Styela clava: one gene and its partner. The protein of the gene in region 1 binds, or shares a complex with, the protein of each later gene. Links are inferred from orthologs where the notes say so. Each region holds a gene or a part of one and is shown on either strand. Other genes may lie near its edges.

What was found.
Region 2: non-structural maintenance of chromosomes element 4 homolog A-like (region 1) and non-structural maintenance of chromosomes element 1 homolog share a complex: the UniProt entries of both Homo sapiens proteins name them as parts of the SMC5-SMC6 complex. The link is inferred for Styela clava from reciprocal best matches to the Homo sapiens genes NSMCE4A and NSMCE1.

The regions. Positions count from the first base shown.
Region 1 is NC_135257.1:6,215,869-6,232,735, reverse strand, and holds non-structural maintenance of chromosomes element 4 homolog A-like, read right to left. Parts: upstream 6,142-16,867; 5' UTR 6,082-6,141; coding exon 5,086-6,081; 3' UTR 3,820-5,085; downstream 1-3,819. UniProt on the Homo sapiens protein: Component of the SMC5-SMC6 complex, a complex involved in DNA double-strand breaks by homologous recombination. The complex may promote sister chromatid homologous recombination by recruiting the SMC1-SMC3 cohesin complex to double-strand breaks.
Region 2 is NC_135251.1:24,041,099-24,058,447, forward strand, and holds non-structural maintenance of chromosomes element 1 homolog, read right to left. Parts: upstream 7,170-17,349; 5' UTR 7,112-7,169; coding exon 6,314-7,111; 3' UTR 939-6,313; downstream 1-938. Other genes in the region: disintegrin and metalloproteinase domain-containing protein 10-like, read right to left, coding at 790-847; uncharacterized protein LOC120336825, read left to right, coding at 13,418-13,543, 13,951-14,081, 14,355-14,428, 15,342-15,419, 15,520-15,606, 15,900-16,039. UniProt on the Homo sapiens protein: RING-type zinc finger-containing E3 ubiquitin ligase that assembles with melanoma antigen protein (MAGE) to catalyze the direct transfer of ubiquitin from E2 ubiquitin-conjugating enzyme to a specific substrate.

The DNA of each region.
Region 1 (16,867 bases):
ATTACGCAAATGCAACTAAACGTGACGATATCCGCAATAACGTTACGTCGAGATGTTATTATTCAAATGTCCGCAGGAAGTAATTAATTAACCCGATGCTACGCATTCAAAATTCGCACTACGATTTGACTTTGACTGCCCGCTCAAGCCCATTAAGTTGTGGTTACGTATACGCAATATGAACAAGATTGTGATTTTATTAGCGGATAACGGAACAATAAAGACCATGAAAAATGTATGTGCATAAAAGACTGCTTGCTAAAAATTTTAAATTGAATATTGCACTTCGTTGTGCCCGGAACAATGAAGAACATGAAAATATTAGGCAGACTAAATCCAATATTGCACTTTGTTGTGCCAGTTATACCAATGGTTGTTGGTTTCGTTACCTATACATAGGTACTCATTACAGTATTTGTACTTATATACTGTCTCGCATCGTTTCAGCAACGCTTTGTCTTTAGCAGCTGGATTGGTTTTTTGGCAATAATGTAAATTTTGCTGCATACGACGCATCTATTATTAGAACTGGCGTTTTGCGGTGGGGTATCTAGTTCTGGCGACGGATATGATCTTGTTAGAATAAGAGTTGCTCTTTCTGCAGTATTAGTGCTCTCAGATATTATTCCATCCACTTGCTTCGCCTAACATTCGTAAAATCAGATATTTTGATCTGCAGAGCAGGTAAGTACTTATTTTGGTTGATATTTGAACAAATACTAATGGGCGAATAAAACATTTTCCACGTGAAATTTTATATGACGATATTAACTTCACTTCGCTATTACTGCACGCATTACTCGACGTCGGTACTTCAATCCATACAGGGTTAATATCATATCGAAACTCGGCGACCGATGTTCCGCTGAGAACGTCGTCGTGAAAGTTATCTTGCGCATTTTGCCACGCAATACGTTTCGAACGTACTTATCAACATCTTCATGACGGTAGTCACGTGATCGGCTTTTGCGTAGCTGCGTAATCAGTGCGTCATGGCCGCTTATCGATGTTGTTCACCCGACACAATGATACACAATTAAATATTTAAATATAAAATTGGTTATATGGCAGCCACAATAGTAATTCGAATATCAACAAAAAGCTTATAAAAAACTCTTTATGAACATCAAATATTGGCAGTATATTTTGTACCAAACTAACAAAATTTCAAGCCAAAACTCACATACATGCAGAAAAATGACTGTTAGATTAGGGTCAATTTTATTAATTTTGACAAACTGTATTTCAAAATGGAAAATACATTCTGAATGCACGATAAAATTTCCTTTCGATTGAAATGTCTCACAACGTGCTACCTATAATTGGTAAAAAGTTACAAGCGTGCCAAATAGCCAGTATTTAGACTTATTTTATTGTTCAACCAATACGGCGCCGCGAACCTTCAGGGTGAGCGAGTAACTTCGCTCAGAGCCGTCAGAGTTCAAAGAGTTAATGCTTGTCTCACATTTGCACAACTAAAACAACATGGCAATCTGCAAACATAAAAATGTGAGAAACACTATCAAATAACATTCAGTGTTGATACGTATTGCGAATTCGTCATCGCAGTTAGAAAAATCTTAAGATCTGCTATCAAATCCCAGAGAGTACGATTTAATTTAGGTGAATAAAAATACATATAAAGTATAGTAAAGAGCCGACGTTTTTGACGGATAATGATCATTTTTTGTACAAAGTAATCAATCCATACGTGCGTATTTAAAATGTCTTGCTTTATTGATTTAATTGTGTTTAATTAAAGCTGTGGCAGCTTCGACAAAATAAAAGCATTATCACTCTGAAATACTACGACAATCTGCGGACATAAAAATGTGTGGTAAAGTTCATTAAGTCTCCGATTTTATCGTGTTTTGCGATTTCGTGAGCTCGAAAAATCTGAGCTGTTCTTGCAGCACTTTATTTTAAACATATTTAAATTGGACAAATCTCTTCTTATGCGATAAAATTCCGCGAAGCAAAATTTATTTTAGTACAACAAAAAATTGTTTAACCTAATTTTAGAATTAATCAAAGGTACCTTGCGCACACAATTGACTGTGTTTCAATTTGCAATGACTGTATCGTTTCTAAAGCCAATTATTAAATATGTGCCGTAGGCACATGGGATTTTTCAGCTTACAGTATCTAAAATAGTGCTTTGAAACTGTCGCTGGCATTCTAAATCGAAACTTACGGTGTTTCCGTTTATGTTTAGTATTTTGTATTGCCGCTTTTTAATCAAGAAAATTTGGTTTGGTCACTCACTCCTTTAATTATCTTAGCATCTCGTCGCCGATGGGTATTATGATAACTCTTCTTTCTCACTGGTTTCAAAGTTTCATGCGGGGAAAAAAAGTAAAACCCACTGTGCTCAAAACACATACATATACGCTGGGGAAAATTTGTCATTGACGGGGAATAAACACCGACGTAAAGGTTTTTACGGCTTAAATAACACGTCACGATGACGAAAACAATCAGCGATTTTACCAAAATACAAACGCACGCGTTGTCAGCGACTTTTTCACAATCCTCCACTGCGAATTAGCAAAAATGACGCTTCAAAAGTCAACAATATTAGAAAAAAAAAACTCTAAAATAATTGGATAATCGAATTTCGATCTTTAAAACGCTTTCGCAGTGAAGCGGGTAATGCAGCACACCTTTCTTAGTGAATACATACATTTTCTAAAATGAGGGAACCTGTTGTTAGTGAATTGGATACAAAACAAAACCTGTTCTTCAAATATTTGGCATAATTTAAAATGGTTTTAAAAATCTTTCTCGATATCCATCTTCTGTCAAAATACGTATCCAAAATGTCTCTGAAGCTCTATTTCGAGGTTCAGCTTGTATATATTTAAGTCCAGTAATTGAGATACGTTATAAAATTTGGACGCGACACAATAGTAATTAATGTATGTAGAAATACTTTTTTGAAGTAACAGTAAAGCCCAAAATAGGGATTTACTTGAATCCAAATCGCCAACTCAAACATACCAACCAAGACTCCTTTACACCTCTGCTTCTGTCCCCTACTTTCAACCTGCGACCTCTGTTCTCTACCACGCTTTCGTCCAGTGCACTCTTAAATCCCCGATAAATATATACTGCAAATCACTCATAAAACACATTCAAAAGGCCCCCAGTAGAGTCGCGTCTCCAGTTTTAGAAAATATCGCACACCACGTCTAAGAGCTATCGCTGTGGTAAGGATGTCACGAGAAAGCGCCAAAAACGATTTCTAAATGGTCATTCATTTGAAATATATAGCATCACGCTCCTAAATTTCCCAACGAAAAGGCTTGGCGTCCTGAATAAGCTTTACTGCTGCCCCTTAGATGCTTAGTTCCGCATGAGCTCTTGCCCAAATCTGAGAAACCACAAAAAGCATTCATTCATACGCAAGTTTCTCAATACACCAACGCTATCTCAAGTTTAGAGTCTCCATGAAAATAAAATGTCAAACACGCCTGACTATTGTTTGGTTGACATAATAAGAAATCTCGCTCTCCCATTGCCATTAGAATCCATTCAGTGTGAAACAAACAATTGCATAAGACTGTGCTGACAATACATGCAATTTTAATATGCATTATTTTATAGAGAGAGAGAGAGAGTCTCTCCCCAAGAGAGCCTGCTTTTTTAGTATTAAAAATTGGCGATTTGGGTCATCAGTCGCCCATAACAAGAATCTGTGCAATAAACGCAACGCCTAAACTCAATCGAGTCTATTCTGAAACACAACCTTATGGCTCGGCGAAACACGTAATTGTGAAGTTGAAGGCCAATAATTTACTAGCAATGCAATGCTATGGGTTTCTTCGTTTGTGTTTGTATATTTCGTCGATCATAAAAAAGGACGATGCCGGTCTGCTGACAATAAAAAGATATCATCGGTTGACAATCTTCTTTGGGACAATGTGAATAATTGAGTGCTCGGTCTACTGACTCTCATGGTACGTGATCACAAAAATGTTTTCAATGTTATAAAAACTCAACAAATGGTTACAACCTTTGCCCCAAATGGTATGAAAATACTAGAGTATCATGAAGAGTAAAAACGATAGAATTATGAGAAAAGAAAATGATTCCAAAATTTATTAATAAAAAAGTGGCCATTTCATCCCTTCGAACGCAAACTTGCAGTAAAGATATTGAAAAGATAACCCATTTCACCCCTTCAAATGCAGGATTGGAGTAAAGATACTAAAACATAACTCAAATCAGGCCAATGTATAAAAGGTGTGATATTTTGGGCATGATATAGACTTGCAGCCAAAGGTAAAAAAACTATGTCAACAATATAGGCTACATAGTGATTCATTCAGCACAACAATAGCTTCTATCCATGGCCTGCCTGTATGCCAATCGAACACGACAATCAAATGTTTATAGTTTTCATGTCAAATTGGATGATAAATTCACCTGAAATCATTGCTTTTGTATTAATTAAAAACGTCTAGGTCAAGTGTGCCCCAATTGATTCAGTTCCAGTCCACCCATTGGTTGATAGAAATACCACATGGAATTGGACAACTCATTCAGACGATAAGTGCACAATTTATCACGGTATGTTTAGAATTAAGAATTTCATATTTATCATAAGAATTATTTCATATTTTATTTGGACTCTGCATTACAAATCAATGAAAATCTCACTCTATAGTTCATCATGAAATCGGCCGATTCATAGGAAAATCAGATACACATTAACATACAAGAATCAAAAAGACAATCTTTGAAACAATATTCCAAGTATTACATTCTATCTCTGAATAGTTCATACACAAGGATAAAAGCACTTATCAAAATCTATGATAAAAATCAATCTAGATGACTTATTGATACTGATCAAATAGCATCAGATGATCAGATACCAAATTACCTTGGTCCTACTGTATGTGGCAAACTACTACAGTCCAGGATCACCCAACTCATGCTATGTAACACACTTAGAAGATGATGAAACATAGTTGAACACAAGGGTTGCGATTTTAAGCTCACAACTGCCTTTAAATTTCAAATGTGATATCACATCATTTTTCAGCTCATACTCAGTCATAAGTTTTAGCACTGAGGTACTCAGCTTCTAACTCTTTTTGATGATGGACCATTAGCTCTCTCAGGGCTTTTAGGCTCTGAAGGTTCTATGAATGGAGCTCTTCCTCCTAGTTCATAAATATCAATAATTTCCCTCCACTCATCCATTGACATTGATACCATGACTTGATTACATTTTTTTTCGGTTTGAGTATTATCTTCCTCATTTTGGTTGACTGGCTCAACAACTGGTATTTGATTTTCATTTAAAAACACACGAACAAAGCCATCTTTGACGAGAAATGCCATGTGAAACATGTTTTCAATAGTATGACCAAAAGAATCCGGATTTACAACAAGTTCAAAATAGTCTATTGGGACTGGATCTTGTTCATACATTTGTTGAATCACTCCAAGCACTCTTTCAATTTCTTCTGGTGTGGCTTCTTTTCGATCCCCCTCGAAATGTGTAAGGTGCTGCGGCTGTGTTTTAGTCCCTGTATCGTTATCTATGGGGTCAGACTGTGTGTGTCGCCTTCTTAGTGCACTGTGCTCAAATGTACCAGACATAACATTCAATACAGGGTTCACGCTAGAAAAAAATTTAGAGGAATATTGTCCGAAATTTTCCCATCCTTCTGAAGTGATATGAACTTCATCTTCTTCTTCACCAATATAACGCCCATCCATTCTGGTCACTAATTTTTCCATGAATTCCTCAGGTTGAAATGCCACAAGATCTGTTTGAAGTTGATTTGTTGTTTGCCCCGCAATAGACACTGATAATGCCATAAACCGTGAATCTAAAGCTCCCTCCCTCGTTGATTTCACCCTTTGAAATAGAGAGTTTGCTTTTTTGACACGATCCAATAAATCTCCACTTTCTGGTTTTACAAATTCTTCCTTTTTGTCTTGGACTTCACTGATCAGTTTTCTGTATTCTTGTCGAATCTTCAACCTTTCTGCACGTTGGATAGGTGTCATAAATTTGCTTGATAGAGATGAAATCTCCATCTCTTCATCTCCGTTTTCTGCCATGTCTATTTTGATGAGATATACACTGTATTCTAGGACTATAACCTAAAACAACATTGAATTGATATAGTCAAATAGGCACCAATCCTTATAGTAAAAATAATGTGATTATCTTACTACTATTGGCATATCAATTATATCAAACTTTCCAAATCAGACAATAACCAAATTCTCCAACTTAAAACAAAGAATAAGCAAGTCCAAGAACAAGAAGTATAAAATAATTTATTAATGCAAATATTATTATGTATTATATATGTATATTGATTTTTATAAAACTCATAGAATGATACATTAATTGAAAACACATGTACCAACTCAAAATGTCAGTTTTCCTACCAAAACTTCTGTTTTACATAGACCTAATTATTGTGATATTTATTTTATTTCAAAAAACATGTTTGTAAAATTCTTTCAAAAATGAACAAAACTAAAATATTATAAATTTTGCACAAAATCCCTGGATTTATAAGCAGTATTTTGCCAAGAAAATTCGTGCATTACACGTCAACTAGCACAGTTTTCACAAAATTTGAATGTATGAATGATACAGTAATAGATAGCATACAAGGAATTTTAAGCCTTCTCAACCCCCTGCGAACCCAGTTTCCTCAATACGCATTTTTATAATTGATGAAAAATTCTATCGCAAACAAGAATACATGCGGTACCGGTATATCATTATACTGTTACGGTATACTGGTATATGACTACTGGGCTATGACCAGAAGACAGAAAAAGTCTGAGTCTTACGGTTGAATTTATGCTTAAACTAATTTGGCTACAAAGTTAAGTAAAACATGTATCTTTGTATAGTTTCAAGATGCAATTAGCAGATTAGTAGTTGGGAATGATACGGTAATTCAAGTAAGTGGAGGTTTTTTTCGTCATGAGCGATGAGTTCATAAGTTGACAAATGACTGCATGAATTTGCAAATGCAATCAGCTCATACCCTAGAATTAAAAAACGGAAATTGAGGAGCTAACAAACAGAGGAGGGTTTAAAATTTTATAGGGGTGTTCACGCAGTATAATACTGTGATACCGGTACCGGTACCTGACGACGTCTGATCTATGTCTCGAGCATTGGGCTAAATATCGATCTCCCGCTTTTAAATTATACCGGTACCGTACCTATCTGTATATAATGTAAATCAGTACTTGTAATAGGCTTGCCTCTGCTAATGGTAGCTGAATACATGAATGAGATGTGTGCGGAACAGACTCAATACAAGGGGTGGTGGAGGCTAACTCGCCATGCGACGGCGGTTAACGGGTACGGTACCGGTATGCCTGCAACTGCACGAAGGGTCTTCTTGTAATGGGAGATGGAAAGGTGGCTGTTTTACTTACAACTTCAATCGTGAGGGCAAATATAATAAATTGAATGTGTTTGGTTAGAATACTGTGCAAGGGATAACAAAGTGACAAGAAAACGTACGGTACTCGACACGCAAAGGAGGGTCTCCCTAAAACCAGGCACTTGCGAATTCAGGCACTTTTTCAGGCACCATTTCAGGCACTTTGATATTTTTTTTTACCGTACGTCATTGGGGTTTCCAATTGACCTGACAAGATAATTGAACTTTAAATAATTTTTTGCATCCCTATATTGCAATAAAACAATATTATTTCCACTTTATTAGGGTATAAATAATTTTTCAATAGTAAAATGTGGCAACATTGATTACAAAATATAGAAATCAGGCACTTGTGAAATTTCAGGCACTTGGTCAAAACCTATTTTACAATGTATCTGATTACTCTAAAGCAGAACATTAAATATATACACTTTGTATGGTTGAATTTACAACATTTTGGTAAAATACAATACCGTTTGTGACTGATGGAGACATGTCATATTTCGCAAGTGCCTGATTTTTCATTTTTCTCGGTGACAGTTGCCATATTTTTTCGCAATTATTTTCTTAAATTGTTTGCGTCAGCACTTATTATTCTTTGCTTTCTAACGCGAATTCATTGTTCCACAACAATTTGAGCGTTTTTAATATTGCAATGAGCAATACCATTTGACAACATATGGTCAATCATCGTACTTTCTGGATTTATTTGAAATTGAATATGAATAATAAAATCTGGCAACCTCAAGCACAAAATACTAAAACCAGGCACTTGTGAAATTTCAGGCACTTCGTAAAAACCTATTTCTCGATGTTTTTATACACTTTGAAGCAGAAAACTAAAATATAAACTCTTTTTTATGATTGAAATGACGTCTTTTTGGTAAAAAAACAAACACGATTGGGACTGGTGATGAGGGGTCAAATTTCGCAAGTGCCTGATTTTTCATTTTTTTCGATAACAGTTGCCATATATTTTCGCAAAAATTTTATTTGCGTCAGCACTTACTATACTTTGCTTTCTAACGCAAATTCATTGTTCCACAACAGTTTGAGCGTTTTTAATATTGCAATGAGCAATACCATTTGACAACATATGGTCAACCATCATACTTTCTGGATTTATTTGAATTTGAATATGAATAATAAAATCTGGCAACCTCAAGCACGAAATACTAAAACCAGGCACTTGTGAAATTTCAGGCACTTCGTAAAAACCTATTTCTAGATGTTTTTGTACACTTTGAAGCAGAAAACTAAAATATACACTCTTTTTTAGGATTGAAATGACGTCATTTTGGTAAAAAACAAAACGATTGGGACTGGTGATGAGGGGTCAAATTTCGCAAGTGCCTGATTTTTCATTTTTTTCGATAACAGTTGCCATATATTTTCGCAACAATTTTTCTAAATTATTTGAGTCAGAACTTACTAATCATTGCTTTTTAAAATAAATTCCTAGTTCTACAACAATTTCAGCGTTTTTACAATGAGCAATATTATTTGACAACATATAGATAACCATCGTACTTTTTAGATTTATTTGAAATTGAATAGGAATGATAAAATCTGGCAACTCCAATCACAAAATACTAAAACCAGGCACTTGTGAAATTTCAGGCACTTTGTAAAAACCTATTTCTCGATGTTTATACTTACTTTGAAGCAGAAAACTAAAATATACACTCTTTTGTATGATTGAAATGCCGTCTTTTTTGGTAAAAAGGAAAAACGATTGGGACTTGTGATGAGGGGTCAAATTTCGCAAGTGCCTGATTTTTCATTTTTTTCGATTACAGTTGCCATATATTTTTGCAATACTTTTCATAAAATCATTTTCGTCAGAACTTAGTACTTACTATACTTTGCTTTCTCGTTGAAATGTTTTTTAAGACAATCCGATGTATATTGAGTGCTATTCTTATCGCTAGTTTCAATTCGACGTCTGCCCGAGGGTGGTGCAAGTATTTATATTTGAAGTGAGTACATACCTCTTCAAAACGCCCATATGGAAGATTGAACAAGGCGGAGTCAACAAAAATTCAATCACATTTGGAACGTTGTCGCACTGCATCGTCGCCACTCATATACTCTGACATTCCGATGCATGAATTTTGCTTTCTGGAAAATAATAATTGGAGTGTCTGTTAAAGTGCGAAATGTATACGGGAGCACGTACAATACCAATGCTGCGTTTGCAAGCGTTGTTATCATGATACATGTGAGAAAGTATCGAAAGCGAAATTGTGGAAGTGTAAAATTTGTATTCGGTAAGTCGGTGTTGCCAATGTGGGTATTTTCAGGGCGCTCCCGTAGTAGCCTATGTGCTCCAAGATGGCGCACAACCTAATACCTCTATCTTGGTACACATACTATGTTCGGGTTGTGTGCCAACTTTGTGCACATACTACGGGAGCACCATTTTCTGCACAACCTATTCTGATGCTCATTCGCGACATGAAGACACTATACGCCCGACATATAAAAGTAGCAAAATATACACAAAATCTTTTCATGTTTAATTTCAGAACTGACATTTAAAATTTTCAATTCTTAGATCTGTGGTTTTACCTAATTGCAAGATACGTAAATCATATCATGTCAAAATAGAACAAATAGTAAGGATTTTCATTGGATACTCAATATTTCTAATAATTTTAAAATTGAAAGCTTCGATTAGTGTTCACTCATACACTTCCATTGTGAAGTTGTGTTTTTAATGTTTTATCTCCTTAATAAATTTAAATTCAAATTTATATCCCCGATTACTGATGGAGAAAGATCTATAATCGAGAGTTTAATACGGCTTCTGTGACATTAAAAACAATTACTGTTTTACGTTTTTATATATTTGTAACTTTTTGAATAACGCAAAAAAATTCGTTGACTGACTACTGGCGTGTTGAATATTAAAGGATTTTTATTGTAACATTCGTTTAACGATGCTTTTAAGCCTAACTTTGGGCATATCAGCTACCTGATGTCATTTGCCGAGCGAATTTTGTTTAGGTGACATTGCCATCTCGTATTTACCATCCTGTAGCCATTCTTCTTATTTAGGAACTACGTGTTTTACAGTTAGCTGTTACAGCATGAAATAATGTACAAATAATTCTACGTAAACTATCCATGAAATCCATTCCATAAACTATCCATGAAAAGATATTACAGTCAGATCTTCAGGTTGTAAAGAATATTATACAACAGCAACAGCAAGTGATTGAATATCTATATTGTAGCCGTGGTTGAACACCGCTGGTTGTCAATATAGATTTTGCACAGGCTTTTATAAATTTTGTGAACGGTAAATTATGTTCTATTAGGGGATAATGTGACTTGGATACGTATTATAAAAGATTCTATACGACATAAGTCAATTGTTTCTGTTATGTAGTTTATATGAAGTCATAGGCCAAATTACATTATTAAAATCGTCGTCCGATAACAATTAAAACTGGAATTTCGAACTGATATTGCCAGAAGACAAATTAGATTGTTTATAACGATGCGATTGTTACTACCTGGGTAATATATTACGTCGAAATGTTTATAACAAATTAGAAGAAGTTTTGAACCAATTTCAAGGGTTCCGAACATTACTATAAAGATGTCGTCTGATTAACTAATATTCCCTACAGATCTGTCAAATTTGAACCCGTATTTAAATAATACATATGTCATACTTTTGAATTAATAAAAATAAACAACACAATGTCATTCAAACTTTACAATATTCAAATAGTTTTGCAAAAGCGTGATTGGTTTAATTAAATATCGATTTCCGGATGTAGATACTGATGTTAAAAGTTTAATTCCATTTATGCTAAGTGGAGCTCTCATACAAACATTGACTTTTATAAAATTATGCAATAGGGAAACAACATATAAAAAAAAAGACAAAAATTATAGAGATATGGCAACTACCATTGACAAAACCAAAAAATCAGGCACTTGCTAAACTTGCTACATTTCCTACCAGTGACAGTTCTTCTTGTTTTGGACAATAAAAATACCAAATTCAGTCATACAAAATGTGTATATTTGGATTTTCGGCTTTAAAGTAATCAAAAACATCGGGAAATATTTTTTTACAAAGTGCCTGAAATTTCACAAGTGCCTGATTTTAGTATTTTGTGCTTGCGGTTGCCAGATTTTATCATTCCCATTCAATTTCAAATAAATCCTAAAAGTACGATGGTTATCTATATGTTGTCAAATGATATTGCTCATTTCATTATTAAAAACGCTGAAATTGTTGTAGAACTAGGAATTTCCTTTAAAAAGCAATGATTAGTAAGATCTGACGAAAATGATTTTATGAAAAGTATTGCAAAAATATATGGCAACTGTAATCGAAAAAAATGAAAAATCAGGCACTTGCGAAATTTGACCCCTCATCACAAGTCCCAATCGTTTTTCTTTTTTACCAAAAAAGACGTCATTTCAATCATACAAAAGAGTGTATATTTTAGTTTTCTGCTTCAAAGTAAGTTTAAACATCGAGAAATAGGTTTTTACAAAGTGCCTGAAATTTCACAAGTGCCTGGTTTTAGTATTTTGTGCTTGCGTTTGCCAGATTTTATCTTTCCTATTCAATTTCAAATAAATCCAAAAAGTACGATGGTTATCTATATGTTGTCAAATAATATTGCTCATTGTAAAAACGCTGAAATTGTTGTAGAACAAGGAATTTATTTTAAAAAGCAACGATTAGTAAGTTCTGACTCGAATAATTTAGAAAAATTGTTGCGAAAATATATGGCAACTGTTATCGAAAAAAATGAAAAATCAGGCACTTGCGAAATTTGACCCCTCATCACCAGTCCCAATCGTTTTTGTTTTTTTACCAAAAAGACGTCATTTCAATCATAAAAAAGAGTGTATATTTTAGTTTTCTGCTTCAAAGTGTTTAAAAACATCGAGAAATAGGTTTTTACGAAGTGCCTGAAATTTCACACAAGTGCCTGGTTTTAGTATTTTGTGCTTGAGGTTGCCAGATTTTATTATTCATATTCAATTTCAAATAAATCCAGAAAGTACGATCCTTGACCATATGTTGTCAAATGGTATTGCTCATTGCAATATTAAAAACGCTCAAATTGTTGTGGAACAATGAATTCGCGTTAGAAAGCAAAGAATAGTAAGTGCTGACGCAAATAATTTAAGAAAATAATTGCGAAAAAATATGGCAACTGTCACCGAGAAAAATAAAAAATCAGGCACTTGCGGAATATGACACGCGTCCATCAGTCACAAACGGTATTGTATTTTACCAAAATGTTGTAAATTCAACCATACAAAGTGTATATATTTAATTTTCTGCTTTAGAGTAATCAGATACATTGTAAAATAGGTTTTGACGGTAAAAAAAAATTGCTATTGTAAGTTTGTAACTGAATACCACGAGCAGGGTATGTTAGTCGTTGGTTTTGACCAAGTGCCTGAAATTTCACAAGTGCCTGATTTCTATATTTTGTAATCAATGTTGCCACATTTTACTATTGAAAAATTATTTATACCCTAATAAATTGGAAATAATATTGTTTTATTGCAATATAGGGATGCGAAAAATTATTTAAAGTCTAATTATCTTGTCAGTTAAATTGGAAACCCCAATGACGTACGGTAAAAATAAAAAAATATCAAAGTGCCTGAATTCGCAAGTGCCTGGTTTTAGGGAGACCCCGCAAAGGATGTCTCAACTTATCATTTTCATCTAAGCATGCTAAATATATCACCATATTAATTGATTGTGTGAGTATAAATCAACAGTACCGGTGTACGGTATACAACCTAACCTAGTTAGTTACAAAAGTTTTATTTCGCTACCGCCAGTCTCATTTTATTCTAAACAGCCGTTGGATGCGAGCTCGAGAGAGAGAGAGGGCTAACTCGCCATGTCTATTTTCTTTATATTTGTTGATCGACATCGCGAGTTTGAGAGAGAGAGAGAGGGCTAACTCGCCATGTCTATTTTCTTTATATTTGTTGATCGACATCGCGAGTTCGAGAAATTTATTATTTGTCAACCAGAAAAAGAAGCGAGCAACAGTAATAAAAATATACAACAATAAAGTTATTCGGTATAACGACTAACATACCGGTATAGACCGGGAGGAGCGATACGGTCATCAGAGTCAGCTCCCCCCCCCCCCCCCCATATTCATTATTTTATATTATGTATAATATTTTTTTGCTTGCAGAGGGATGTCAAAGTAATATATAAGAAGACAAGTGAATGATAAATAAAAATGTAAATAAATATAATAGTATGAGTCGATGTAACAGTAAAATATAAAGCAGCATCGTAATTTCACTATCACAAAATATGAATTTAAAAAGCACCATTGGCGAGTTGTACATAATTAGGAGGAGAATAATTTCTAGGGAATAGTACTAGATTAATATATCAAGTCAAAGGTTCTCGAATGTAGAGCAATTCAACCTAAACACAACTGGCATTTAACATTGCCAGTTGTGTTTGAGGATTTATTTTAATGTTAAATGATTGACATATGTTTTATGATTGAGTAAATAGTTGATTTATATCAGACACTATGATTTGACAAGCCACTGTCTACAGATTCGAAAATTTTCACATTTTGACAGGATGTACTATTGAGTTGGTAGTATTCCACAACTATAATGATGGAATGAGACCAGGAGGAAATTATTCAATGATGACTAGAACCACAGTAGGCCAGAACGAGTTGTATAATATATACAGGAAGTACTCAAGACATGTATGCTCAAAAGAAGAGTATAAGCTGCAATATACTATACATAATATATATATTAATATACCTAGGACCCGTTCGATCAAATATGATATAATAGACATACAATTTGTAATAATGTGTTTCAATTTGAATGACAGAAGTACAATGTTAGGTGACATCACCCATTATATACAATTGGAATAATACAAAGGTTAAACTCTAAATGATCTCCACTATACAAAATACCATATTCCAGAATCTGAATAGTTGCGAAAGATTTATCATTATTGTTCAGTCCCTTATCAATTTTTATAATCCATATTGCCCACATATAAGGGCAGATGTCCCAAATTCGTATGGACTCAACGTAGGAAGAGAATGTAGCCTTTTTTATCAGTATATACAATAATAATGATTTGGGACGTATAGATGCAAGTTTGAACACAGAAAATTGGATGCAGCAACTCATATCAACATATACAATAATAATGATATGGGATATAAATCCTTTAGATTGGATTAATAATATAAATGCAAGTTTGGTTTAACATAGAAAATAGAATGCAGCAATTCATATCAACATATACAATAATGATAATTTGAGAATTTTAATCCAAGTTTGGTTTAACACAGAAAATACGATTCAGCAATTTATATCAACACACGGTAATGAACGCACGCCTTCAACCTACAGCATAAATTGTTTAATTTTATAGGCCAGAACTAAAAAATAAATTCAGGAGAATAAGAGCCAATTTACCGTACCTATTTTCCTAAAGTACTAGTAACATATAAAGAGTAACTGTAAATATCGTGGTTGAGAAATGTCTGCATGTCATTTAAGAAACAGTAATATGCAATATTACATAAACAATTTTTAACAATAATATATGAATAATAATTTACATAACTTGTGAGACAAATGCAATTCAAGTCAATATTTGATAAGCTAATGTAGTGGAATTGCGAGAAATTGTAAACAATAGAAAAATTTCCACAGCAAGTCTAGTAATAGTCTATATAAATAAAAATAATGTAAACTCTAGACATGTGAACTCAAATAAAAGTTCAATATGCTATACATTTATATGTGAAGAACTACCATAGTCACATCAAAATGCAACGAAGAAAACCTAATTACAGGTTACATATAATAGCAAAATTTCATCCAGATATCTGCTGAACTGAACAGTTATTGAATTATGATATAATATACATACAATGTGATATAGTGGATTTCATTTTAAATGACAGTAGTACAATTTTAGATACCACCATTTACTATAAAACCACACACACTATTACTAGGTCTAGATGATTTCCACTTGACAAAATTGCATAAATTAAAATCAGGGATAAGGAATCAAGGAATTGCCGTCCAATTTAATCAGGTAACATTGTATGGGTTTATGGTAACTACTACAACTTCATATCATGTCAAAAGGTACAAATGCTGAATAGTCAATAGTTGGCTTAGAATGGAAACTGTTGATGTTACATACATTGAAATTACTCTTGAACTGTATATCTATCAGATCATGAGAAAAATATAATGTCCTATATAGGAAAGAGCTGAATTAATAGATTATATTTGCAAAGATAAAGATGCAAATCGCGAGTGAAATGGGTATTGAAATGTAAAAAAGACAACACAGAGAAGTTATCTCTCGATTTATTAATATTTATTTATGAAATACCTCATATAATTATATTTTCAACCGCTATGAGACGATTCTATGATGTCATCTGGAATAGTGTTCTACATACTTGGACCAGTAATTTGAATGGAATTCAGGGCCAAACTGGAACTTGTCCTATTAACAAAATATGCTCCTCTACCCGCTAAACGAGTGTTGTATTGGTGGACTCTACTACAATTTGTGAAGTGGCTATCAAAAATTTCAGGAAGAATTCCATGTTTAAATTGAAACATGATTTTCGCTATTTCGAATTTATATACATCAGTCACTGTAAGAATATTCATCTTTTTATAAATGGGACTTAGGCTTACCCGCAGACGTGTACCACTCATCAACCTTAACGCACGATTTTGAAGTACTCTGATCCTATCCAGATAAGTCTTAGGGGCAGATCCCCATGCCACAATTCCATATTGTAGATGTGACTAAAATATACAATTCTTAAAACCTTATCAGATACAAAGTGTCTCAGTTTGGACATAGCACCAATAGCTCTGGACAGACTACCTGCAAGTTGGTCAATATGCCCCTGCCAGTTTAGCTTATTGTCTAGAATAACTCCAAGATATTTAGCTTGTTTTTAATTAGCCATTCCGATATACTATGAAGATCCCTATTAACTAAATATTCTAGGCAGGACAGGTTTTTTGCGGCGAATGTAGCCCTAGTATCATCAGCGAAAAGTTTAATTGGAGCCCTAATGGCATTGACAAAATCATTTACATGAATTAAAAACAGGGTAGGCCCCAATACTGAGCCCTGGGGGACCCCTACCGACACCTTCTCACTTATTGATTGACAACCAATCAAAATTACAAATTGACTTCTGTTTTGCAGATAACTTACGAACAATTTTATTGACCACTCCCCGAATTCCATAGTGATTAAGTTTTGTAATTAAGATATCATGATCCACTGTATCGAATGCTTTTTTCAGATCCAAAAATACGCTACAACCCAATGAGCCTTCATCTATAATGTTTTAGTAATGACTGACAATATCAAGTAT
Region 2 (17,349 bases), on another chromosome or scaffold:
GTTATGCTGTTACGTTTTTCATACAAATTGCTTTTTCAACTTCAAATCATTCTTTAGATCAGGGTTTCCCAAACCGCGGCCCGCTGGCAAATGTGTCCTGCGTAAAGATTTAAAAGGGCCCGCCGAGCTTAAGTGAACAAGTATGCAACAAATTTTGTTTCTACCTTTTTGTGAAAGAAATGAAGGGTTAATAATAATAGACTCCATCTCTAAGTGCTAAAAACTATAAAGAAGTTGAGGTTTTGGTTGCGAAAGAAGGCGATTCTGGATAGCGCCGAGTGTGATATCACAGTTTAAGCACGCGTTTATGGTAACAATTCGATTAAAGCGGTTATTCGTACCAGTATTAGGATTACATAAGGCAGAATTTAGTTATGAACCATATAAGCTTAGACATGTCAAGACAAAAACGAAAACTAGACTCCGAAAACTGACATTTTTTCGATAAATGAAGTGGTGAATTCACTGAGCCCCAACTAAACTGTCGCGCACTTTTCCAGCCTGCGAACATCCCTCCGTTCCAAATTTTGACTCGCGGCCAATAAAGTCTGGGAACCCCTGCTTTAGATGGTTAAAATTTAATATAGATGTATTAAAGTAACCACTTTGTATGTTCCAGATATACATATGCAGGATTTTGAAAAATATTTACTCAGTCATGCAGTTGACACGTAAATTTGAAGGTAATTGCTGATTAGAGTTCTAAACTAAAGTCTGTGAATACCCATGCTACCCTGTTTATTGTTTTGAGCTCTAGTTATAAGCTACTAGAATTTTATTCATGCTTACCTTCTACAGTGTGAAACAGCACCAATGCGATGGCCACAAATAATTTCAATAACAGCATGGTACCTCAAACAAGACAAGGGAAATGAACGTAAATGAAAAGTACGAGTGTACGTATGTTGAGGTTACTGGTAAACAATTAGCATAGAAAATCTAAGAAGTAGAAAAAACAAAAATGTTTGAAAATTACAGTAGAAATGTTTGGATTTGATGATGTCCAATGAAATTGTAAATTAAAAAGTGATCCATTAACTCTATGTCAAAAATCTTGAACAAAAAAATATAAGAGAAAATCAGGCATTTCCTGTTCCTAAACTAATAATATTTCAAGGTATAATGACAAAATATCTTATTTCGGATGAAATTAGAAATTATCCCTGTATAATAATTGCTACTCTTTTTGTAAAATATAACCTCTTCCAGGGTAGTCATCAGTGTTCACTATTAGCGCACTTTTTTGCGAAAATTGCGAAGCACTTTCGCAACTTTTTTTAGGGACTGCGAAATAGCACTTTTTTCCGATTTTGAAGAGAAATAGCACTTTTTTCCGATTTTGAATGGAATAAAAATTCAAAGTTAACAAATATTTTCGAGTATTAAGTTGACAAATAAGTAACATACTGGTACTTTTGTAACTCAATTCTGCATATCATAACGATATTTACCGGAATTCTAACCTATGAAATGCAGACATAGGAGATAAAGCTTTTGCATTAACGGCAAAATCTTGTTTATAATATGATTATTATACAAGCACACGGATTCCGCTTCTCCGCAAAAAACGCTCCCGGGGCGGCGTTTCTTTGAAGGAGAGTGGTCATGTGACTATCAATGATATCGATGAATTCAAAATGACTATAAAAAGTGTTAGTAACCTGTTATAGTCACTTTGGATGAATTGTGACCAAACTGCACTATTTTCAAATCAGACGAAACTTTTAGCAGCATGTCACAGATTTGCAAAATCAACAAATTCACAAAATACCATTAAGTGCCATTTTATTGTAATCACAATGTTGAAAGGACGTCATTGATATGCGAGGAGGGGTGGGCAAAATTCAATATTTTTTTAAATCGAATATTTTTAAGGAGTACCGAATAAACGTGGTGGAAACATTAAAAAATCGGCAACAAAGCCTTTTTACTGGTTAATTCCGTTGTAATCGCTAATTGTTCTTGTCACCGATCGTTTGGCGGCGATATCCAGGTTTTGGGTAATCTGTATTCCCGCCCTCTCTTTTTTTACAAATATGAATTCTTGTGGGTCGGCGGACATCGAAGTTTTATATTTCGGGTTTACCTGTTCGTTCACATCGGCAACAGCTGTTAAAGACATTGAGGACTCAAATTAACATTTGCGCTGGCTTTAATATTACCTATCAAGATTTGTAAATTTACCGTCCCAATTTTATGCGAATGGTAATATTATTGTCCATACCGTGATGCAGATATTTATTAAGAGTTAAGACGATAATTAACTTTCTCATGTATTTCTATGGTGATAAACTTCGCAAATCTGAAATTGTGCCAATCCTGAATGTGGATTTGAAATAGTGATTGAATAATTCGGCTATAAAGGCATTTCTGCGTGGTCATAAGACGAGATGACGTTAATGAACAGCACTTCTTTTACAGAATATTTTACGTATGCGACTTAATGCTAAAAAGATTGGGCTCGAGTGCTTTTTTTTTCGAGTGCTCGAGTGCCTAATAGACGTCAGGCGCTAATTGTAACTAATTCCCTCAAGTTTCAACGTGTTTTCAACAAAACAATACCCCGGCGATAATTATAGCTAAAATGTTACCGAGCAATTCACAATTTTATTTATGGAATTTGCAAATTCACCAGTTTCTTGACGATTTTGATGTTGTCACGCCCTAATTATTAGTGCAAAAATACTCCCCTTTCTCCGCGGCGGTTTGACGGGTTCTTTGTTCCATTCTTCAGAAAGTTCTGACACGGGGATATAGAATACTGAATCCGGAGGGTTGAATCCCTGTCCACTTACTGGTGATTTTTCGTTTTGAAATGCGTGAAACATTCTCTATTTTAAATTAAATGACGTTTCGCGGGCTAGTGATGTGTTCCAGACGTTAGTTAGACGATAGATAAAACATTAGATTAATAATTTTCGTGACGCCCCGTTTTCGAAAATACAAAGTTATATCGCAAAAAAATGCGTTATGATACATTTGGAATGAAACATCATTTACGGTGAATTCAGATCACATTTTACTCTCCATGACACCCGGTATCTGAAAATAAAGTTGTATCTCGAAAAATGTGTTTTGTTACATTTAAAATAAAACATTTTTGCGATTAATTTAGATCATATTTTACTTTTCAGGAAACCCGTTTTCGAAAATACCAGGTTATATCGCAAAATGTGTTTTGTTACATTTAAAATAAAACATTTTTGCAATTAATTTAGATCAAATTTTACCTTTCACGGCAACCCGTTTCCGAAAATACAAAGTTATATCACAAAACATGCGTTTTGTTACATTTATTTTGCATTCCCAATAAAATACATATTTTCCCTAATTAAGGTCGTCGATGAATCTGTTCCTGTCGTTCAAGCTCGACACACGTTTGGACGAGTGTGGGGCGGTTTTTTGATCGACGATAAATTAAAAAGTTGCCACACGTTATTTGTATAACGATAATAACTGAAAATTAAGATTTTATAATGGAAGTGAATTTGTCTCAAGATGGTATTTTACAATTCCTGCCCACAGAACATAAACACGCTGACAGGCTTGGTTATAATTGATATTCGTTTAATTTATTTTACACTATTAATAAACGCGCCACACCAATTGCGACCATATAAATTGCAGTCGCATCGGTATGGACTGTATGTTTTTGGCGCTCTCAAATTAATAATAATTTTCAACAAAACAATACCCCGACGGTCATTAAAGCTGAATTCGTTACCGAATAATTCGCAATTTTATTTACGGAATTTGCAATATCAAGATCTCACTTGACGATTTTGATGATGTCATGCCCTAATTATTACTGCTTGAATGCCTCAAAATACAGCAAGTGTAAGCATTTTCGACGATAACAGGCGCAACAATTCGTAAACGAGCCTTTATAACGAAATTCGCGATTGATTTTACCTCTCTCTTGTTTACAATTTTAACATCCCGCCGGCCATGTATGGCCGAATAAAATGTTCACATATTCGAAACATGACTTGGCCAAGGATGGAAGGGATCACTAAAGAGCTAATAGAAAGTACATACGCGAGGGTATGATATTAATATCGGGAATATTTGAGCATATCACAGGACGGAAATATTTTGCACCCGGCTGTTTGTTGGCAGAACAACGATACGCTAAAGTTAATTGATCGAATACAGGGAAGTATTTATTTATCATCTCACTTGCGAACATCGAGGTTTTGGCGGAATTGTACGATCATGTTGTCTTTCTTAAATAATAACTTTTTCAATAAATGTTCATTTTACTTTTGCGTCTTCATTATATGTCTGGTTTTCATTTATTTTAAATTCGAAATTGTCCGAAATACTCCAACAGGTGTATAGGTACAATAATAATAGTACTCACCAAAGTACCTACCAGGGAAGTTTAATACACACGATGTGTAAAGGGCGTCGTAACTCCCGTTTATTAATTATAAATTTTTTTACATTCTGCTTAAAAAACAAAGGCAGTCATCTCACGTAACTCTCGCGACCAAATCTTTTTTGTTTTGTATGGCATCGTCTTGGCGACGAATTTATTGCCGACTGAATTTTAATTGTGTTTTAGGTTAGTTATTTTCTGTTTGTTGGTTTCTAAACTTTACAAACTTGGGTAGCAATTACTATTAATGTGAGATTTGTGCATATGAACGATTGAATATCGGGACTGAATGTCCGATATTTGAGAATGCGTAATTCGCTTTCAACATTAATTTTCAGGATATCAGCGTTCATGTGGTCGAATAAAAATTATTTATCAAATGGATTGGTATTTCGAGACACTCTCAAAATTATTTGGGATCCATTATCATATCATTCGTTTATTTTTTATATTCATGTTTTTCTCAAGAATCACCCTCGTTATATTTAGTGTACCTTCGCAAAAGAAAACTCTTTGATGTCATCGTTCCTATTAGTGTAATTGAAATATATGGAAACCTCGCAAGTGGCGTTGTGATGCGAATATTTGATACTAGGTCAGCAGCATTACAAAGAGTGCTATTTATGAATGCTGAAAGTACATGACATTACTAAACATTTTGCCAATATATGATGTTTTCTGCCCGATTTAAACTAACTCGCACGCAAACCAAGGCATGTGGACATTTAAAAATTACTTGTCTTTGGGGAAGCTCTGAAATAGTATAATATAAATGTAAATGAGAAATTAGGTCACGCTAGCTCACGAAACAGGAGGATTTTCAAAGTGATCTTGTGTAATATTTCGGAGAAAAAAGTTTGAAAGGAAAGTAGGTCAACCTATCTCCTAAAACAGGGGAGTATCCTGCATAATATTTCGGAGGGAACGTAGGTTAACCTATCTTTTAAAACAGCGGGTGGCGACTTTCAAAGCGGTTCAAAATCACAAATTAATAATTATCAGATTAGGTTTAGGGATGAATCGAAAAGTTGAATTTCTAGCGCACCTAACCCTAATTAGTTGATTGCTATTTATTTTTGAGGGGGGGGGGGATTATTTTGCACCGGATTTGTACAAACGATCCACCCTGTAATTAATATGGTTTCCAGCCGGCCTCGTGTCTGTTAGATGGAAGGAGTAACAAATGTGAAAGTCTTTGCTGTTTACGCGAGTAAGCAACTGACACCGTGATACATTGCATGAAAGTAGGTAGGCAGGTGTTAGCAGATGTCATTTCGTTGCCGATGAATTCGCTTGTTTTAATTAAACATGAATTCGCTTAAAGGGATTCCGTTAACGAAAAGGCTTCTCTTTAATTCATAATATTAACCGGAGGAGCGCTTTTTCGAGTATCTATGCCGTTTTAAATGGGTTATATGAAAGGCTAGGGCACCTAACTTGTTAAAATCGGCAAAAGCACTTTCGCACTTTTTTTTTGGACTGCGAAGCACTTTCGCACTCATAATTTGCTTAGAGTTAACACTGGTAGTCATAATTTTTGCCATATTCACCTAAAATTAGAATGTATAAAGCAAATATACTTTGTAAAATATTACATAGTATCACATCTAGTGTATGTACATATTCATAAATGGGTGGCACACCGAATTGAAAAATATACTAAAACATTAAACAACTTTGAAAAGTATGTTCATTTTGCCACGAAGTTATGCGAAACATTAACACAGCTTAGTAATCTCCATTTAACTATGTTGTTCTATGAAGTATTTTTTTGTTATACAAAATTGACACAGTTTGGCATATGATTTCACTCTGAAACCTAATCTTATTCATTCAAAATAACTTGAATGCTCCAGACAAAGTGTGGAGCATTCACAATAGTCGAGAAATATCCCATAATCTTTGTTATTGAGTATAGAATAGTATTTCCATTCATCGCCTTCGTTTTCTACGTTCATTAATTGTTGGTGTCAGACCTTCCATACTTCCGTTTACACGAGATGTATCCATATTGGGCAAGGATGGAAGTAACGTCATGACATCATGACAGACTGGGCATTTACATTCGTCCATTGATCTACCCCTGAAATAAGTGGAGGCACAGTACAAGTGTATTCTACTTCTGCATCTCTTGCAGTTAACTCCTTTTAAGACCATACTTTTGCATATGTTGCAGTATAAAACCTCATTCTTCAATTCAGCTTTTATATACGGTTCCAACTCTAGTATTGAACGAGGGGTGAGGTATACCATCCCATCTTTCTCTCCAATCCAATTTTGTTTCACAAGCTTTGTAATCAGAATCTCGATTTCAGATTTCAAAATATTTTTCTGAGGCAATTCTTCCGTTATGTTGAGGATATCAGTAGATGAAACCATTCCTGTATTTGAGCTAACGATAAGATCAACAGCTCGGTGAAAAATTTCAATTTCTATTTTCGTGAAATTTCCTCCAATTACTAAATGATTTATATCATGATCTGTGACACTTATTAGTGCATAGACATCTTGTCCAGAATCTTCATCATTGCCTTTCCTTATTTCTAGGTGGAAAGGTTGAATTTGTTTATTTACAGATGTTATAAACGATGATAGTGTCCACTGGTCTCTATTTTTTTCTGAAACCTTGAAGCACTCATCTAAGAGTGAGTCACACTCATGGTCAGTCGCTGATCCTTTTTGCATCATAGCTTGCAAAAAATATTTTTGGGCATCTCCATATGCAGTCATTTTTGTTATGCTATCATACAGATATTTATATTGTTTTATACAATCTGTAAAGGAAAGTTATACTCAAATAAATAAGAGGTAAATATGGTGGTATATGCCCAGGCCAGTCTGGATTTCATGGCCTTTTTGAACGAGAAATCGGGCGTGCAATCAGAAATTCCCGCATGCAAATCAGAATTCCAGGCGTGCAATTATAGCTCATGACATGCAAAACACCTGCGTTCACGTGCAACTGATTTTGACTTTAGATACTGTTCGATACATCCGCGTTAAATTACTGGTATTGGATAAAAACTACATTAAATCAGAGCAAAAATGGACGTTTGACCTTTGACCCATAAACATTATTTCTATACTTTGTCATTAATTTTGAGTGTTTGTGCGGCTCTGGATACCGGTACTGTTCAGTACATCCGCTTAAAATTATTGGATCAAAAATACGTTGAAACAGAGCAAAATGAACATACCTTTTTACTAATCTGTTAATTTTGGGAGTGTTTTTACATGGAATTATTGGATAAAAATATGTTGAATCAGAACAAACATTTGAACATGGACATTTGACCTTTGACCCCAAATATTATTTCTATACCTTGTCACTAATTTTGAGAGTATTTGTGCGACTTCAGATACTGGTACTGTTCAGTACATCCGTGTAAAATTATTGTATAAAAAATACGCTGAATCAGAGCCATAACTGACCAGCGCCGACTAGTCTGCCAATCTTTTCGCCCATAACTATTCCCACGGGATTCCTATCACTCAACACGATGCGCCACAGCGCTAAGCAATTTTGAAATACTGTCTTTTTTGCTTCGCATTTTTCGGTCAGGCCAAATCTTGCAAGCTAGTATGTAACATAAATTACCCTATTATCGTCACTTTTTACTGCAATCCATCCGAAGACTACTATACTCTAAAGTAACAATTTTTTCTCTATTGTCCCGGAACATTAGCTACCAATCGGAGAAAAAAATGCCAACAGCATTGAGTCGCGAAATGAATTTGCTATAGCGACACCTCACGAATATAGCAGAAATGTGGGTATGGCGATAATAGGAACTACGATTATCCTATTATCGCCACTTATGTCAAACTTTTTTTTCCAAACGCTTTTCTCTTTAAATACATAATCAATTGCTCTGAAATTTTCAACGATTAAATATTATTGCGGCCGCTGAAAGGCTATTACTTTTATTTATTTCAAACATTTTTGTCGGCCCTACGAGATTCGTTTTTCACTCCCTAAGTTTTATGCGATGAGGTCATCAAAATAAATAATTGTGCATCTTAGCATGGCGGTTCTGCGATCACATTTAGGCGTTCTGGCGGTCATCGAAATCGGAATTTTTTTTAATAAGGGAGACTACTGTTATTGTGGAAGATTTGATACCACTTCGTTTTGGTTTTCGTGCTCATATATTTGAGCATTGCTGCTTTGTTTTTTCACGATTTTTTCGGTTCTCTCTTTTGGCGAGCCATAAGTTTCTTTTTCTATTATCGCCACCCTGTGGATGCGAGAGTTAATAATAGCACAATTTTTACAAACACTTCCCATGTCAAACTTGATTCAACCTAGATCTAACACGGACTGATAAAAACTAAAAGAAATAAACATCGTCGCGCTATTTGGGCTGATAATTAGTAATTACCGCCTCCCAAAAAGTTGACCGCGCGTGATATCAGTTGATTTTTATATTTTTCAAAAATTCATGTTTTTATTAAAATGTCTGTACTCCACCGGGCGACATAATATGTTTCATACTTATCACTTATGACGTCGCAATCCGAAAACAACTCGTATTCAGCGCTATCTGAAAGTGCTGAAGTGCAACTGCAGCAGTGCGATTTTAAGAGAGTGTGGTGAAAATTGGCAAGTGGCGATAATAGGGTAACTTACGTTAGTCAACAATTGTGGAGCAAAAATTTGTTGGCATCTTCATATTCAGATATTACTGGATTATTGATTTAAAAACCTTTTAAACCGATTTTTATTGGTGAGCAATCAGCACCGCTGTGTACCGTTATTCCTGTATTCAGCTATTGGCTCTCTAGTCCGATGAAAAAAGGGAAGCGTTACGAGTAGTCCAAAAGCTAGGCTATAACAGGATGAGAAAAAGTCTACTTACAGACTTCCTCAGAGCTACCGGTAGCCTATGAAATCCTATTCTTACAATACAATTTTATTTCGATCTTTCAACTTACAATCATGATATATGTATGCATTATCCGGGTATTACGGTAATAGTTTACTGCTAGTAGCTAGTTTACATGCAGTACGGCGTACACTAACAAATAAACCTACGCTGTCTAGGCAATTTGTAATAAACTCGCGGGTAGCGGTAAGCTAGACAGGCTTACTGTGAAACGGCGCCTGCGTTCTAGTGATAGGCTATCTAACAAAAATTAATCAAATCCTTATTGGCTCAATACTGCCACCTTCTGGCAGACGGTTTGCTTTTATGCGAACTGCTAACGTAAAATAATTTACTCTTGACCATTTCACAAATAATGATTATTATGTACAATTTGTCCACCTCCCTCATCATTGACCCCAAACTGCACACGGAAGCTGATTTAGATGGTCAAAAATTATAATTTTATCGCGGAACGGAAGAGAGTGGGTCTCAGCATGGTTAACCATGGTCTCAGATATTTAATCAATGTTTGTATCTATAAAAAACCTCTGAAACAAATCTTATGGGCTTCTGTTGGTGTAGTTTTGGGCTTTACTTATGCAGCACTTCTATCGTGGAATTTTTATGGCACTCGATTTTATAAAATTAGAGTACGAAAACACGCATATGAATTACCAAAAACCGTTAGTCGTTGCCCAAAACGTGATAATTCGGAAAAAATATTTTACGGATTCAAAGATTTTGGAGGTAATTCCACTCTGATGGTGTTATATTTTTCGATCAGCTTTCAATCACAGTGAAGCACTTTTTCACTGCCCCAATGTTATTTCAGATTTCTAGGTTTTTATTTCAAGTCTGAAAGATTTTGTTTTCCCAACGGCATCGTAGGCGAGCAACTAATAAAATGCAAAGTAGCATCTAGTTCTCGTATATCCTCCAAAACAGTCTGCAGATGTACTTCCGAAAGAGACAAGACAAGACGTTGTGAGAAATGAACAGATCGATTGTATTGTTAAGTCATAAACGATGTCAAAGCCAATAGCTGAATAACAGCGATGCAGATATGCGTCCAAGATTAGGGGTTTTGAAAATTACCATACCGGCTCTCAAAATTAACAATTTGAATATGAGCGATCGCAGCTCTGACTGCCCAACTGACGGTACATTATAATAGTTCAGTTATTGTTAGATTAATTTAAGGCCGGTTTTATCAATTTTTATTCTTGATATATTAGCATTTTTTTTAATTTTATTCCTGCCTTGGCGGGTCACGAATAAAACGCGATGGCTCACTTTGTAACCTGCGGGTCAGTGGTTCGTCATCCCTGGCATATGTTTATGTTCTGTAATTACCAAATAAATGTAAATCCCTCTTTCTTTTTTTCTTCCTATTACTTGTGTGGGCACCGACTTCAATGGTGCATCTCGTTATTAGTTTTGTAAAATTAATAAAATCCTGCCACCTTGAATTCGATGATAAATGATATTATTGTAAAAAATGCATATCAGTACTTTCCATAATCAGAATGCCGTTGGCTGGAGGTCGATTGATTTTAACGCTTTGGCCCTGACACAGAAACAAAATCATCCTCCACGTTGATAATAAGTAAATAAAAACAACACATGCTACACGTCTCATTGTGAAAGGTTTTCAGCACAGCAATAGAAGGTGCATGTGCGCCTTAAATTTAAGTTTAATGTGGCGATTTTTCGCAGACGGACAAGAAGGCCGAAACTAAGTAGTACGAGTATCCAATCTGTCACAGGAAACAAAATCGCACAAAAATAAAAACCTCAGAACTCAGGGAGATAATAATAAACGCAGAGTCCTTCTAGCAATATATATTGTACAGTTTGCGGTGTCGTATCAAATCAACATAGCAGTAAAGCAGTTTATGCATGAAAGTGAAGGATTTGCCACAAAACGTTACACATTGTTTGTAATCCAAGTTTTAACCTCGAGATTCGATTCTAATTCATCGGAATCGATTCTAGTATTAACTCCGGACTCGATTCCGCCATCCGTACTCAGCATGATAAGTTAATATTTTTTGTTGAATGATCGACTTTTTCTAAAATATTTGAAAAAGATGGCATTGAGCTAATCAGTCTATAGTTTTTGACATTTTTTAAGTCTCCGCCTTTATGAAGCGGTACTACTTTAGCGATTTTAAATTCATCTAAAAATGGTCCCGATTGAAGAGAAGGATTAAAAACATGTATAAGAGAGAGCATGTAGTTCCATTGCATCGTTCTGATAACCTTTTAATGGGGACTCCATCAAGCTTGATTTAGGATTTAGGTCTAAAAGCTCGAATAATAGCTTGTATGTTTGTGGCTGTTACCGATGCCAGAAACATTGATGAGTTACTAGATTTGCTCATGTAGCCTACCTCATAAAGTTACCGTCGTTATCATTAGTGAATTTATCAGCCATTCGTTTTCCTGTAACGTAAAAAAATCATCATTGAAATGATCAGCTATCAATACAGGATCACACGTTTCCTTATTTCCTACACCAAATACATTTGACAGTTTAGATTTGCATCGACCTAGCAGGGTATTCATTGTTTGCTACGATTTTTCAGATAGTTTAAAGTTTTACTCAAAAGCGATCTGTAGTAAGAATACTTTAGTCATATTGGTCGGATTAAATGATCGAGGAAAAATGTTTTCTTCGTTTTTAAGTGTTTTTTGTTCTGTCGACATGCACTGCATTACAGGTAGGTGGTCAGAGATTGCATCAGTTAGAATAGCACTGACAGGTTTTCGCTCGTATATGTTTGTCCATATATGATCAAGAATTGTTGCGCTGTTTTTGGTTATTTTGGTCGGTTTGGTTATAGTGGGATAAAAAGAATATTGATTTATCAACTTAGTCCATCAGATCATAATTAAGGTCACCCATCATTATAATATGTTCTGATAATGAGGGTAAAACAGTGTTCATGAGATTAGAAAAATCTTCATTTCTAGAATTATCAGACCGTGGGGATCGGCGAATAGTACCGCAAGTTACAATTCGGTCTTTGAGATAAACGTCAACAAATAATGCTTCGAACAAAACTTGAAACAAAAAATTCACGAGAACGGGTTTTAGATTTTATGATTTCATCAATATTCTCGACAATGAATGGTTTACGGGTGGTAAAATGCCAAGTTATTCCAACAACATGATCATGTTTTGCAACCTACAACCAATATTTTGTATGTAACTTTGTTTGACAGAGCCCCAAGAGATCTAACTACAAATATCAAAAAAGTTAGGCCAAAAAATTACACTACAACATAGTCAAATGTGCTGTAATTACGATAGATAACAGGTTTACCAAAAATCATTACATGTAAAATGGTAACAAAAAGATCAATTCAGCAATATCTTCTTAAGAGTTGGTGATATGCATTTGTTGATGATTTTATGTGTTTGTTTCGGACATTTAATGACAAAATTAATTGTGGTTGTTGGGGATGTTTCAATAAAAAAAAATAGCTAATTACGTTATAACTGCAAGCAAATAAACAAAAGATAGCCCTATTATATTGAACTCTAGTATTTACGCGCACCCTTTTCAAGACGAGGAAAGTGTACGTGATGCCTTCGGTACACATTTCAATGTTTTGATGTTTTCGTTTCACGATCGAGAACATCAGGCGGCACGTTTCAGGTTTCATCACGAAATATATTCAAAAGCTCCCAGCAGAGTAGGGATGAAAGCCTGCTCATTTGGAAGTTTTTCGTTGTAGTTGGTACTTTGGCCTAATGTGAGATATATTTTGCTCACTGTTATTTAAAGGATAAATCGAAAATCTTTTTGTGATTGTTGAGACAAAAACACGACTTGTGTGCTTCGAATTGATTATCCAATCCAAATTATTCAAGTGGGTAAAATTTGTAAATTTAGAAGAAAGTTGAGTCAAATTTTTAATCAGGGTTTTATTTTGAGTTTAATTTAAAAACTTTAATGAGTTGTCATGAGACATGTCATCGTGCTGACTGAAAATCCTTTGTATCCTTGACTTAATCAGTGACCTTCTGCGATACCGATAAAAAGTCATTCGCCTTGTCCATCTTTGACAGTCGAATAATAATATTCTATAATTTTATTTATTTCTATCAATTTGCAATGAAACTAATCGGGTAAAATACATTTCGATATCTGCGGAAAATATGCTCAGATACAGAAAGGGAAAAATGAAAATAGCAGTTTGTCTTCTCTGCATTGTTTTTTGTTGCTCCGTGACCGCAAACGATTGCAAGAACAGCAAATCAAAGCAAATTGTGGATTGGACAAAGGTAATATGCACGCAGAGAAGTGCCAGTTTGTTCAGTTATTAATTTAGTTTAATCACATACGTGCGAGTAATTACAATCACTTTGCGTTGCAAAGCCTTTCTAGAGTCCATTTTATTATGCCTATGACGTTACAATGCCATAACAGCTAGTTTGTGCAAAGCGAACAACGCATGTCATAAGATCAATAACCAATTTTTTGTTTCTGAAACCACAAGAAAGCCTTTGTTAAATTAAGGTGCGGCCCGCGGTTTCATCAAGTTATCTGTATGGGGCCCTCCTGTAATAAAGTTTGCACACCTCCTGCCTTACATTGTAAGTAAGTTATCCCTCCCCACTTTTTTGAATCTCTCAATTTGTATGTTACGTATAACTCCACATATTTCCACTAATACCCATCTGTGTTTCAGCTTCAAGGCAAAATTTGGTACGATGCATTTTTTGTTCCAGCAACATATGCAGCCCTGGATTGTTATCACATGCGCAATATCACCATCATGCCCGACGGCGTATATGTGACCATATCTATAAACCTAATGGGGTGAGAAATAAAATGAAAATATAATTGCTCATCATAATACATATACTCATCATAAAGTATCAAAACCACACCAGCAACCGTTGAGTGGAATAGCAATATAGTCAATTCATGGATAGGAAAACCGAGACCGAGGAAACTATTCAGAAAATTCACTTTGATAGCATAATAGCATATTAATTGTTAACTTAATCAATTAATTATTTAAATAATTTATTAATAATTAATTTAATAAATTAGATAATTATTAAAGAAACTTTACAATATATCATATAGGTTCGAATCTCATGATTACGATCTTCAAGTGGTGTCGAAAGGATCTGGAATCTATGCTCTTGCACATCAGTCAAGTGAGTATCAAATATGTTCAAACTTAACCAAGTAAACGAGGAGACGATTTTTATATTTATATCATCTGAAGGAAAGGAAAGTAGGTAAGACAGCAGTTCCCAAACCTTTTGTTCGTGCGAAGCCAAATTATCAGCAGGAAAATTTCACGGCGCACTTACACGAAAAAAAAACTGCCCCTTTGGAATAAAACCTAACTTTGTGATCGTTAATGTGTAGTTTATGCCTTTTAAAGTTTGTAAACATGTAAACCTAAGAAATGAAGGCAAAAGGTCAACTTTTTGGTACTCTCGAAGTATGTGAACCAAGCTGGCGGTCACCAAAAAGTAGTATGTGTACCAGGTTAGGATTAGGCCATAATTTTATTCCAATTTTCCTTATTTTAATTCTATTACGAGTTCGGGGACTAGATAGGTGACTCCCGTAGTATTTGTACCTGGAATTATGGCCTAACTCTAAGCTGGTACACATACTACGTTCCGGTGTCCGCCATCTTGATTCACATACTTCGGGAATACTAACCTTTCTCTCTCATCCCTTCCCCTAAAAAAACACTCATTTCGCTAAACTCGGTTCAAAAAATAAAAAAAAACTGCCGCTCACGAAACTCCAGCACGTACTGTCTATCTTTATTGTTACGTAACAATAGAGGCAGGTACTGCGTAACAGAAGGTAAACGACATAGAAAGGTAAAATTAATTTATTGATTCATATACACAACAAGTGAATAAGAAACAATGAAAATTTTATAATAAATACAATGTAAAATATGCAATCGTATTTTAGTTATGTTTGCCTTATTCAGTTCATTTTCGCGGCGCACAACTTGGAGACCGCTGCGGTAGGAAAACTCAATTTTATAGAAAAACACCTTACATTTTTCCAAAGTTGAATTTATATGCATTGTATTTTTAGAGAAAAATAATGATCGGGCCGTTTCACGAGCAAACGTAGGAAACATTGGAAAAACATTGCAAAAAAAGATTGCCGAAGGTATAAGGTTTATATATATTGAAAACGGTTGGCAGGTCACTTCTCTTATGATAAGATAATCTAAAAATTTACTTTTCATTCCAAACCGTTTTATTTACAGCTGAACATCAAATACTCAACGACTTTACAATGATAACTGATTATGAAAATTATTTTGTTGCTATTTTCTGTGGAGCAAGCACTAAAGGTAATGGAGAGATTAACGTTTGAAATATGTAAAAGCACTGAACGCACTGCCAGATATGTGCTATATCCTATAACGGGCAATTCCGATAAAGGAAAGTATTCGATTATGACTCTGAATAACATATTCAACTTATGAAATATCCATAATACCCAATGAATCACCACTTGATGCTATTACATATTGTGAGAATAACTGCGAGGAAATCGCATTCCCTGACTCGGGTCCTTTAGCTTAAATTATTCAATACAAGTTTAAAAAAAACGGTTACGGATCGTCGGATTTCTTTTCTGCAGGAGATATTGCATCAATCAAGTTAACTACAACGAATCCTACAGTTGATCAACTAGTGGATCTTTGGAATGTTCTTGACGATCACAATATAACAGGAAAATTATTCTACAAAAAGAAATGCCTGAAGGAGATGGAAAAGTAATTCATGAAGTTAAAAGATCATTTCAAATATATATACAGTATTTCAGCTATACCCTCTCTTGTCTTCGTGTCTAACAATATATAACCTGAAATATTAGACGGATTTACTATTTTCCATATGTACTCTTCATTAATTTCCATGAGTATGAATATTTTTCCCCAAAACAAATCGCGGCTTCTCTTTATGGTTCAATTCGTTAAATATATCTCAAATAATTCAAATCTTTCAGTTTGTGGTCCATGGAAACGATTTTTTTTATTGTAGTCCTACATTTCATTTTCGTATGTCGAAAGATTCAGTAAGTCAATATAAGGGTACAAACGCACTTGTTGGCAATCTTCGCAAAAACTTTTCCCCTTTTAATATTTGAAGTTGTTGGGAATGATTGCAGTGTTATAATAAGGACGCATTCCTTATTACTATGGGCGTAGAATGTGAATAATTCTAAACGAGCCTGTGATGGAACTTGAAGTAAAAGTTTGTATAACTAGAAGATCTATCCAAAACAACTAAACAAACGTATATATGAGTATATTTGCATTGCAGTAGTCCAGCGGTTCCCAAACTATGGGTCGCGACCACTGGTGGGTCGCAAGAGAAATCTTTAAAAGATGTAGAAAGCTTTGATCAATTATACTGGTTATTAGGATCGGTGGCAAAGCAAGTTTAAGAGCAAATTTCCAAATGAACTGCAACATTTCAATTTTTACGTCTAAAACTATCTGAAATTAAAATAAATGTCAAGTATATTATGGAAAATAGCAAGAAACAATCTCATCTTTCTCACTAGCTTCACTGAAAATTCAATTTGACAAATTAAATTTGTTTCCTCCACCAATGTTTTATTAATTTATTAAAGTTAAATGGGTCGCCATGAGCTGTGGTAAAAAATAGTGGGTCCCAACTCTAAAAAGTTTGGGAACCACTGCAGTAGTCTATTGATTAAACACTTGTAAAATGATGAAACTGTCCGGTAGACTTCGCAAGGTTTGAGTAATCAGATGAAGTCGATGCCTTTGGAAAGTTTGAGTTGTCGACATTCATTACGATATTATCTAATCATTTGATTTTGCATTTTTGAATCCGTTGCTGTGACGCCATCTGGGTTAATATGTATCTTCAGAGATATGAAAAACATTAACAACTTTTACTCATTTAATTTATATATGAAATCAAAAGTTTTTAAAACCCGGAAATGATTCACAAAGGATTGAAAGATCAATAATGTACATGATAAAGTGATATTGAATGACATTTAAAGTCCAACTGCTACATTTCACAGTCATCTACCTCAAGCTTGCAACAATTAA